Lytechinus pictus: one gene and its partners. The protein of the gene in region 1 purifies or fractionates together with the protein of each later gene. This does not show direct contact. Links are inferred from orthologs where the notes say so. Each region holds a gene or a part of one and is shown in the gene's direction. Other genes may lie near its edges.

Region 1 (3,754 bases):
TATAGTTTTCAACAATCCCAATTTCTAGACTTGTAGCAGGTCTCTTGATTGCTAAACCAAAATTAATAAACCTCTGTGAAGTTACATGTTTAAAAGTGAAAACACACAGTTTACTTCTGGTTGGTTAGTTTACTAACTATTGCTGTCCTATAGACATCCCAGACATGCCTGCGTCCATTACATAACACCCCCAGGCACGCAGCCGAGTGAAAGACTTGAATCCCTTCTCTGGTCTGAGATTAGCCTTGATTTCCCCATGATTTGTCAATGAAAGGTCGCTTTAACATTGCAAGTGTTGCCATGGCTGCCAGCCACAAAAACTTGCGAATGCATTGCTTTTGAATTGGCGGTGAATTTATAACATGAAGAAATAAATAATAAATGAATAACGATAGAATCTAGACCTATCCTATGTTAAATGTTCCACTTTATTTGTCTTCTTTTTGAAATGCCAATTCGATTATCATATTAGTAGAAATACAAGCTACAGCATCATCATTTTTGTCTCGCCCACCGGAGGTGAAGACGAGACTTAGGGATCCAAATGTCGTCCGTCCGTCGTCCGTCCGTCACAAACCTAATGACACATAACTCCACAACCGTAAGTCGCTTTTCAACCAAACTTGGATGGTAGATGGACTTGGGGGACCTGCATGTTAATAGTTGGAGGTCACATGGTAAGGTCAAAGGTCATTTTCAGGTCAACGTTAAAGTTTACATGCAAGACTCTCTTATGACACCTAACTCCGCAACCGTAAGTCGCTTTTCAACCAAACTTGGATGGTAGATGGACTTGGGGGACCTGCATGTTATGCTGCAGTTGGAGGTCACATGGTAAGGTCAAAGGTCATTTTCAGGTCAACATTAAAGTTTACGTGCAAGGCTCTTATGACAAGTGTTATTCCAACCCAGTCATTTCACAATGAAGTTTCGATACAATTCTGTTGCGTGCCCTCGCAAATCACGATATTTCTGCTTATTTTCATAAGTGGGCGAGACACAAAATCGCTTTTGCCTTGTTTATATTACAAATGGCTTTAGAAATCCACATTTTGTCTTTGTAGGATACACAATGTTTGCTGGTATGGCTGGAATTATGACCTTTGGCTTTGTTACCTTGGCAATGAGCAATAAACAAAGGAGGTGAGTTTGTAGGCTTCAGGGCAGAAATCTAGGATAGTAAACTGCACTGTATCAACTCTTACATTTCAAATATACACCTAAATGCCCAGTATCATTTGACTAGTTTTGTTTATTTATTTACTGTTTTTTTTATTGTTTTCTAATTATCATTTTGTATTGTTACTTAATTTATCAGTTGAGAAATAAAAACATGCTTCTGAATATTTTTCTAAAACAGTATGAAGTATGTGTGAAGTTTGGTAATGTAATGGTATTGAAATGGAAATCAGTTTTGATATTAAAAGATGTTTTTGGTAAAATGTACCATAAGATATTTAATCATGGCATTTATTAAGGCGACCGCACACCTTACGATTGGTATGCGACCCGATCTCAGAATAAAATGTTCTAGAATTTGATGCTAATATTGGAATATCTTACTGTGTAATGTTCGAAATCATCGTAGGAATACCTATGTTCAAATCTGTGACTATGCTATCATCCTTCTTAGAATAAAAGCGAATTTAATATCTAGTCGTAATGACGTCATAGCAGTCGTACGATTGGCTACGATTTGAAACTAATTTGGTCTTTACTCCAAAATAAAGGTTTGCAATCTGTCAAAATGGTTATATTAGTATTCTTTCATTTAATTTTAACCTCAAATAAAATGATATGTTCCATTCACATTTTCAGAAAATGAGCAAAGTGCAATTTGTTCCAAAATCGGATCGCGAACAGTCGTAATGTGTGCGGTGGCCTTTAAAGCTATGTCCATTCAAAACATGAATGGGGTAGAGTGATGAGAGCTATAACAGGATGCATGTCTATAAGCCTTTTGACGGTTGTAAACTGCGCACGAGCAGAAAAAGGTCATTGGAGACAACCATGAAGGTGGCTTTCAAATTCACTGACATAGGCATTTGTGATTTGATGATTATTCATGTATTCCTTTCAAAATATTTATCACATCCAAGCTGAAGAGTAATAAATAGAGCCTTCATAATCACTGGTATTTGACAGTAGCCTAAACAATAGTCAAATGTGCCAAAGGCAGACAATAAAAAAGATTTCCAAACTTTATCCCTGATGTACTATTCTAGTCACCTGGTCTATACAATGCCTTTTGTTCGTAGAATTTGAATACTCTACTGGTAAAGCTTACGCAACATCTACATTTGAAAATGATAGTGCTTATCCTAATGAAAAATCACAAAGGTCATTTGAGAAAATTTGATCATGAGCTAACCGTGAACTGGCTTATTGTTTAAGAGTCACCTATTCTGTGAAAGCTGGTGAATCTCAATTCCATTTCGCCTATTAATTTGTACACATTGTCATCAATTTTTTTTTTCTTTACAGGAAATGGATCCAAGAGGATCGTGAATCCAAGATAGCAATAATGCCTCTTATTTGGGCAGAAAAGGACAGAGAGTATGTTTCCATGTTTAGTGATTACTCTTAATGCTAATATTTAAATTGGGGAACAGTAGTGTATAATGAAACAAAATTTTTATCTTTTTTGGAACTACATTGTATTTTGCTTCACATTCATATTACAAACTCTAAAAGTTTACTAAACAAAGGTGATTATGAAATCTCATCATTTGTTTGCTATAATCTTGAGAATACCTAAACAAGAAAATCTACACATTGACATATCCCAGGGTTTGAAGTACAACTCCAAGGAATCAAAAACATGGTTCTCAAGCTGTCATACACATTTCAAATGATTTTATGCTTGAAATATTGTATGTTTCCATCATCTTGTGGAATTTTTAAAATGCTCGTATTTTCCAAAGTTGCGATTTCTTTAAACACACTGATCTTGCACGTGATTTTCATATTGTCTAAAATTTACTCAAGAAAATATATCTGGGATATCAGTATTGCTTATTCAGAGGAATAATAACTAGACTTAGGTTGAAAGGAAAAACAATGATCATATATTTTTGGAGCAAAAGGAGGGGGGACTCATACAGATTTCTTACACAGATAATACGTGTTGATTGAGAGGCTCATCTCTATGTGTTTCCTATCTTCCAGGATGCTTCTGAGGCTACAATACAACAGGGAACAGGAGGCTGAGATCATGAAGGATGTCCCAGGCTGGACCATCGGTGAAGGTGTCTTCAACTCCAAGAGATGGTACGAACCAGGTCTTCTAGACCTCTACTACCTAGAACCCTCCAAGGAAAGGAACAAGAAAGTCTTTGGCTTCAACACTTTCACAGGAACATAAATGAATAGTTGTGTGCTCTAAAGGGGACCAATCACTGAATATTATTTTGTTATCCTGTGGTGGCTTGATGTAGATCACCAAAACTTGTACCCCTTCAAATTTGTCAATACCCCAAATGGTATATTTCTGATGTTAATATATTAGAAGCAAGATTTTAACAACTGATTTTGTATCTTGATACAACCCAAGATAAGCAAACTAATTACTGCAGTGTTCTTACATTGTTTATTGTTTATCTTTGGACAGAATTTATCTTTCTGTTTCGGAGTTACAAGAATTGTTTTGTCTCAGTTTCTGCTTTTGTAGACAAATCAAACGGGGGAACAAAGCAAAATAGCCGTGAGTGGTTGGTCCCCCTTGAGAAAATAGTTAATTAGATTTTAGAGTTAT
Region 2 (3,754 bases), on another chromosome or scaffold:
AAGTCTTATTATAGCATAATAGGCTCACAATTCACTGATTCACATACGGCCTTTAAATTGCCAATGACAATTTTATGTCGAAAATTTCGAAGCTTCCACTAATTACATTTTATTGCAATCTGAGAATGTGCATAATACTTGTACAATGGAATTATGCAGGTATAACAAGTCATGTACAATAATGTTCTTCATTGGCAAATTTTGTGAACGTATTATATTACAGGGGCCGCGGAAGCGGGAGGCTGGGGCTTCACCCCCCCCCCCCACTTTATTCCAAACCGTGTACATAAACGCAAAAATGACCATATGATTGTGATTTTTTGCATGGTCAGCCCCCCCACATTTGGCTCAGCCCCCCCCCCCACTTTGAAAACCGTTCCGCGGCCCCCGTATTATATGCCTGCTTTCAACCCTTTTATTTTTTCCCCGGTCGCGCGATTCCAAAGTCTAATTCTGAGACTATAATGTAAACAAGTTCACGTCGGTAGTTCATGATCATTGTTTAGCAGGTTATCTTACTACAAACCATATAATGATTTTCGTTCATAATTACTGACATAACGGTTGAGTGTTTTGCTCCTTATTAATTGTATAGGCGTATTAGCAGACGACACTGCGTATGATATGCCTAAATGTGACTTTGTGAGAATATGAGTCGGTCTATAATAATCATGCTTACCATAAAACCATGTCCAGGTTCGATAGGAGCTACTTTGAGAATTCCAACGGTCACCACTAAAATTGCAATCACGAATGTGAGATAGTACATTCCATTGGCCATGTTTGGCAATTTTTTTCTCCCTATATAGATCAACTAATGTTCTATCCAGCTTGAAGCCAAGAAAAATGATGGTCACCGAAAGACAGTTATCTTTTAAAGGTCTGTAGTCACGTAGACAGAGAATGAAAGCCGATGAAATGACCCTTGCGACTGATGCAATGTTTACAATAGATCAATATGACCTGCTCCGTGGTACCAAGTGATATTTCAAAAAAATATGATTCATATTTGACAAGCTACGGTTAGCTGCCCTTACTCAATTAAATAGCTTGGGGACGCTCAAACACCTGTCAAACACTTGAAATTCGAGCAAGATTGAAGTGGTATAGCGCCATCTTCAGTCTTATTTTGTACATGTATTGGGTAATAATTTTCGGTCATGCTGCTGCAGTGTCGGTACCTGACGCCAAAGAAGACTAAAATCTGTGCAAAATGGGAGGCGCTCTGAGGAGAATTGCTACAAACTTTAATGTGGAGAGCAGGGCACATCGTTTACTGGACCAGCAGAAGCCAAGACCTGCCCCGAAACATCCCAAGACAGCTGATAAAATAGCCCAGTATCAGAGAGGTAAATCTTGACCTTGCGAAGCTAAGGCTAAGCTTCACTCTGTCCGAGTCCGAGCGCTAGTTGAGTACCGGTAGTTCCGGAGAACTCTCCCGCCGCGAGGCCGGCCTATGTCAAGTGAGCCAACAATAAGCCAGCCAACAGCAAGCCAGCCAACAGTTCCAGCCAACAATATCGCGATATAAGATAGATCAGATACAGGATTATGCGCAAGAAGAGAATTAAGCGTGCATTCTTGTAGAAATCAAACAAACGGGGTCAGGGCTACACGGGCCTAATCACTAGTGGCAGGCCATAGATATTCATTCGAGCCAACCCATTGCCATTTTTTTTAATTTTGATATGGCTGATTGACAAAGTGTATGCATATGATTTTCCATCTAACACTGATTCTATTTTTGGTAATTACTGAACTTCCTTTTCCCAAATTGGGAAGAAATATCACCAATTTTGGACTGTATTTTGACTGGCGGAAGGATTAGGGCTATTTTGCTGTTTGAGGTGATGAATCTGCTCCCCCCGACGCTGTCTTCAAACACGCCAATTTATTTTTAAAATGAGCCAGTCGAAGGACCCTTTTCTGGTCAGATATGGATTGCCAGATATATATCCTATCCACTGGTAGTAAACATTCGACCCCCGAATTTCATCCTTATTTTTTATGAATTTTGTAAAGTGCCAATTTAACACACGAGTCTATGGGGAATGAATTAGGCCTGTGAGACCTCAGGTGGGGTTTTCCTTCTTTCAATTTGTAAAGAAAAACAACGGGCTAGTGCTTTAGTTTTAGTAGCCCACACCCCTATATACTCGATGTTTTTTCGTATATTGAGGAGTAAATTTCAACCAAAAGTCCTCTTTATAAAATACAATTGGAAGATTGCTCCTGAAATATATTTTGGGTGTGTGTAGGGGGGTTTCCCTTCTTTCAATTTGTAAAGAAAAACAACGGGCTAGTGCTTTAGTTTTAGTAGCCCACACCCCTATATACTCGATGTTTTTTCGTATATTGAGGAGTAAATTTCAACCAAAAGTCCTCTTTATAAAATACAATTGGAAGATTGCTCCTGAAATATATTTTGGGTGTGTGTAGGGGGGTTTCCCTTCTTTCAATTTGTAAAGAAAAACAACGGGCTAGTGCTTTAGTTTTAGTAGCCCACACCCCTATATACTCGATGTTTTTTCGTATATTGAGGAGTAAATTTCAACCAAAAGTCCTCTTTATAAAATACAATTGGAAGATTGCTCCTGAAATATATTTTGGGTGTGTGTAGGGGGTTTTCCTTCTTTCAATTTGTAAAGAAAAACAACGGGCTAGTGCTTTAGTTTTAGTAGCCCACACCCCTATATACTCGATGTTTTTTCGTATATTGAGGAGTAAATTTCAACCAAAAGTCCTCTTTATAAAATACAATTGGAAGATTGCTCCTGAAATATATTTTGGGTGTGTGTAGGGGGGTTTCCCTTCTTTCAATTTGTAAAGAAAAACAACGGGCTAGTGCTTTAGTTTTAGTAGCCCACACCCCTATATACTCGATGTTTTTTCGTATATTGAGGAGTAAATTTCAACCAAAAGTCCTCTTTATAAAATACAATTGGAAGATTGCTCCTGAAATATATTTTGGGTGTGTGTAGGGGGGTTTCCCTTCTTTCAATTTGTAAAGAAAAACAACGGGCTAGTGCTTTAGTTTTAGTAGCCCACACCCCTATATACTCGATGTTTTTTCGTATATTGAGGAGTAAATTTCAACCAAAAGTCCTCTTTATAAAATACAATTGGAAGATTGCTCCTGAAATATATTTTGGGTGTGTGTAGGGGGGTTTCCCTTCTTTCAATTTGTAAAGAAAAACAACGGGCTAGTGCTTTAGTTTTAGTAGCCCACACCCCTATATACTCGATGTTTTTTCGTATATTGAGGAGTAAATTTCAACCAAAAGTCCTCTTTATAAAATACAATTGGAAGATTGCTCCTGAAATATATTTTGGGTGTGTGTAGGGGGTTTTCCTTCTTTCAATTTGTAAAGAAAAACAACGGGCTAGTGCTTTAGTTTTAGTAGCCCACACCCCTATATACTCGATGTTTTTTCGTATATTGAGGAGTAAATTTCAACCAAAAGTCCTCTTTATAAAATACAATTGGAAGATTGCTCCTGAAATATATTTTGGGTGTGTGTAGGGGGGTTTCCCTTCTTTCAATTTGTAAAGAAAAACAACGGGCTAGTGCTTTAGTTTTAGTAGCCCACACCCCTATATACTCGATGTTTTTTCGTATATTGAGGAGTAAATTTCAACCAAAAGTCCTCTTTATAAAATACAATTGGAAGATTGCTCCTGAAATATATTTTGGGTGTGTGTAGGGGGGTTTCCCTTCTTTCAATTTGTAAAGAAAAACAACGGGCTAGTGCTT
Region 3 (3,754 bases), on another chromosome or scaffold:
ATGATATGACCGGGAGGAAATTTTTGGCTCTCCCCCCCCCCCCCCGCGCCGGCCGGCCCGCGGCCCGGCCGGCCGCCGATCGACCCTTAGCTGTTTCACCCATGCATGCTGCTTACGATAGACTATTTTCCATGTACTGAAATGAACAACGTCAAAAATTCTCAAGCTCCCTGCAGAAGTCTCATAGGCATGCACAGTTAAGCTCGGGGCGTAACAGGGGTCGGTTGCCGGGGAGGGGCAAGAGCCAAAAATATCCCGGTCATAATGTGAACAGGATTTTTCAGGACGTGCATATTATTATAACTGTTTTGTGAAATTAAGCAAAATTTTTAAAAGTCATAACTTTCTTATTTTATATCCGATTTTGATGAAATTTTCGGTGTTATGCTTGTTGGATTTTTCTCTTTTTATTCAAACAAATTTTTTGTGGGGTGGACTTGTCCTTTAAGTGCTTTTCTTTCTTTTCTCCTTTTCTTTTTTTGCTTGTTTGTTCTTGGTCGTAGAAATTTTTGGGACTCCCTTCCTCTCCATATAGATTCAGTCATTTACCTTGATGGCCGCTATTTTCAATCAAATCACGCGGGTATACAGGTTTTACGGAGGTTTTACGAAACAAATTTTCTATAACATCAAGAGCGAGTTTTTGCCCTATGAAAATGAAATTATGTAGGCCTCATTAAATTGACATAATTTATAAGGCAATGCTTGGACGGTACCTCTGCATGGAACCTCTCTAATAATCTTCTGTAATATTGTCCTGATTGCGATCGTTATTGCCATTTAGCAAGTTATCATACATTAATAAGCCATCTCATGCTTTAATTTATTATTAATCTTTGGTAGCCCAGACTGTGTCTTCATTTTTTTCTTCATTTTTAAAAATTCAGCTTGAGCATATTAAGACCTATACCACGTACCGGGGTCTATACTTACCTCATTGTTCTATTTCATTTTCCGTCACTTTTCTCACTCCTCAGTTTTCCCGCCATAAATTCCCGTTCCACGTGGCCATCTCTTGGTTCTCCTTTCTCTCCTATTTATTAGTATTTCGGGATTATTTTTTCTTATACCTAGATCTATACGCGTAGGCCCCCTATTCGTGTTTTTTTCCTTTTCCTTCCGTTTTACCTTTCTTCTCTTAATTTATCGGCTTTCTTTTTCCCCTCAATTCTTTCCCCTTTCTCCCCCCCCCCCCCCTCTTTCCTCTTTTTCTTCCTTTTCATTTTCTTTAATTCTGTCTTAGCTTTCCCCGGTTTTTTTTCCTGGTGAGCTCCGCCAGGGTGGGCAGACTGCCACTCCTGCCCCAACCCCGGCTGTTGCACCGCTAAGCTCCCCTAAAACTTTTGGTCTCGAACCTTGCCTGTGGCCGTACTCAGCTTGGCCGAAATGTCGCGGTGCATGCATATACCATAGAGATGTATTCTATGGCATATACTCACATACTAATATAATGGGTTCCCATATATATAATGCACGTGATGTACGTACGTGATGTATACCGGTACGTGTACCAAAGGCAAAGATGCTCTCCGAGCGGCCGGCCGACGTCCGACCTGGGTAAGTGGTAAGTTCAGAAACACTCTATGAGAAAGTCTGTAAAACCAAGGTTAATTGTTACTTTATAATCGTAGGTGGATCTAGATCTGGTACAGGTACATTAACTGAACTTTGTTAATACATGAAAGGCTGAAATCTAAGGAAGACTAGCTGAAAAGATCACGCTGCTCTGCACTGATGACTGATCACCAACACAGATAAGCACATGTGGGACAATGTACTATTGTTATTGCTCGGAAAGGGGGGGGGGGGGGGGGTCGGAATATTTCCCCTCAGACTCGAAGGGGTCCGGCGGAGGGATCATTTGGCATTTTCTTGATTTAATTCACTGCCGTTCATTTCAGGGTGACCAGAAAATGAAATATGGGACAAAAAGCACGATGCACGATCGGAGCAACTGATAAAAAAAAATCAACAAACACAATGTTTGATAAGAAAAGGAAAGGGAGGGTGAACGAAAGAATGAAGGAGAGAAAGAAAATAGGAAAGAAAAGAGATGGAATAGAGGAAAGAAATACAAAATGAAGGGGGAAATGAAAATGAAGGAAATTTTTTTTTTAAAATTAGAATGAAAGGTCGGATGAATAAAAGAAAAAAAGGTTTACTTTCTGCCATTCTTTGAAATGAATAAAGAAAGGAAGGGAAGATGAATGAATGCATGTGTGATATAATAAATAAATGAGAGAAAGGAAAAAAAAAGAAAGTAAGAAAAAAAAAGAAGAAAGAAAAAGGTTTCCTTCATTCTTTGAAAGAAAGAAAGATGGAAAAAACAGGAAAGGAAAGAATGAATAAGGGGAAAAGAGAAAATAAAGAATGAAAGAAAGCCGATGAAAGGGAGAGAGGAGAGTATGAAAAAAAAGAAAACTAATGGAAGGAGAGAAAGAACGAAAATGAAAAGGAGAGGAAGGGAGAAGGAAGCAAAGAAAAGTTCAAGGAAAGAATTAAAGAATGAAGGAAATAAAAAAAGGTATTTAAAAGAAGGAAAGTAAGAGAAAGAAAGAAAAATGAACAGAGAGAGAGAGAAAGGATCAGAAAAGAAAGCGAGGAAAGATTGGAAATAAAGATAGATGGAACAAAAAAAGGCAAGCAGGAAGGATAGAAGGATGAAGAAAGAAGGATAAAAAATAAAAATGAAACAAAGGAAAAAAGTTCAAACTTCAAGCAAGCAAAAATATCCAATCATCTTCATGATATTTGGGTTTTTAAAAATCTATTTTAAAAATTGTTAGAACACTAAAATGTTTTAGAAATGAATAAAATTTCAAAGTGAAACATTGTCAAACTTAAAAATTAGATGAAACATCGCAGCATCACACATCTCTCATCCCATGACAAGTTAGCACTGATCACAACAAGACTTAAAACGAAACCTGAAACAACTAGATCTAGTTATGAAAACTCAATATCTTGCTCCACCGATTACATCACCAAATCAGTAATCTGAGAATCCATAATATAAAAATTAAAATTGCCCGCCCATTTTGTGATTATTTTGGTGGAAAAACTGTTGATCATGTGAGATTGTTTGCACCATTGAGAATCTGCTCCGATCCTAGTAGCCTGCCACACACACAGACAGGAAGCCATTGCAAGCCGCAGAACTTGCAAAAGTTTACAGTAATTTTATTGTTGTCTCTCCTTTGTCATCTGTTGGTTATTTTCCCAGGTTATTTTTATGAAAATTCTTCACTTTTCTATGTATTAATTACATTTTGTTCAATATTCTGACATACGGGACAAATAGGCGTCCCGGGAAGGGTTTGTCGGGACGCCGGGACAAAGAAGCAAAATACGGTATGTCTGGTCACCCTGGTTCATTTCGTCAGTGGAGGTGACTTCTTTCCTCTCCCATTGACTTTGTACACAACCATGACAACAAGCGCACACAGGAGAAGAGAGGTGACTTATTTCAGGATAAGGCCGATCATTTTTATTTTGTGAGTGATTGTGTTTGTGAGCGATCATGTATGTATTTATAAATTATAGTATCTATAGCCTTTATAGGGAACTTTTTTGTTTTAATACTGTGCCTGTGCCCGGTGCCGGTGGCCAGGCAATTTTAAATTGCCTTGGATGTGCAAAGTTTTCTATCTGCTGTTGACATCAGGGTTGACTTGAGTTGAAGCCATTTTTTTTTTTGGCATTCGTCAGCTGGTGTTGATGTTTAGACTGATGAGGGCATGAAAAGAATGCTGAA

Evidence for each region.
Region 2: the proteins of NADH dehydrogenase [ubiquinone] 1 alpha subcomplex subunit 13-like (region 1) and NADH dehydrogenase [ubiquinone] 1 alpha subcomplex assembly factor 4-like purify together in Homo sapiens (co-immunoprecipitation; 4 studies listed by BioGRID and IntAct, counting the BioPlex papers as one, with this or other methods). This does not show direct contact. The link is inferred for Lytechinus pictus from reciprocal best matches to the Homo sapiens genes NDUFA13 and NDUFAF4.
Region 3: the proteins of NADH dehydrogenase [ubiquinone] 1 alpha subcomplex subunit 13-like (region 1) and complex I intermediate-associated protein 30, mitochondrial-like purify together in Homo sapiens (co-immunoprecipitation; 3 studies listed by BioGRID and IntAct, counting the BioPlex papers as one, with this or other methods). This does not show direct contact. The link is inferred for Lytechinus pictus from reciprocal best matches to the Homo sapiens genes NDUFA13 and NDUFAF1.

Annotation. Positions count from the first base shown.
Region 1 is NC_087249.1:30,218,694-30,222,447, reverse strand, and holds the start of NADH dehydrogenase [ubiquinone] 1 alpha subcomplex subunit 13-like, read left to right. Parts: upstream 1-1,032; 5' UTR 1,033-1,072; coding exon 1,073-1,143; intron 1,144-2,484; coding exon 2,485-2,556; intron 2,557-3,168; coding exon 3,169-3,364; 3' UTR 3,365-3,754. UniProt on the Homo sapiens protein: Accessory subunit of the mitochondrial membrane respiratory chain NADH dehydrogenase (Complex I), that is believed not to be involved in catalysis. Complex I functions in the transfer of electrons from NADH to the respiratory chain.
Region 2 is NC_087248.1:7,420,696-7,424,449, forward strand, and holds the start of NADH dehydrogenase [ubiquinone] 1 alpha subcomplex assembly factor 4-like, read left to right. Parts: upstream 1-1,213; coding exon 1,214-1,349; exon of another isoform or gene 1,350-1,444; intron 1,445-3,754. Other genes in the region: uncharacterized protein LOC129258495, read right to left, coding at 680-781. UniProt on the Homo sapiens protein: Involved in the assembly of mitochondrial NADH:ubiquinone oxidoreductase complex (complex I). May be involved in cell proliferation and survival of hormone-dependent tumor cells. May be a regulator of breast tumor cell invasion.
Region 3 is NC_087251.1:31,762,877-31,766,630, reverse strand, and holds the start of complex I intermediate-associated protein 30, mitochondrial-like, read left to right. Parts: upstream 1-1,242; 5' UTR 1,243-1,564; intron 1,565-3,754. UniProt on the Homo sapiens protein: As part of the MCIA complex, involved in the assembly of the mitochondrial complex I.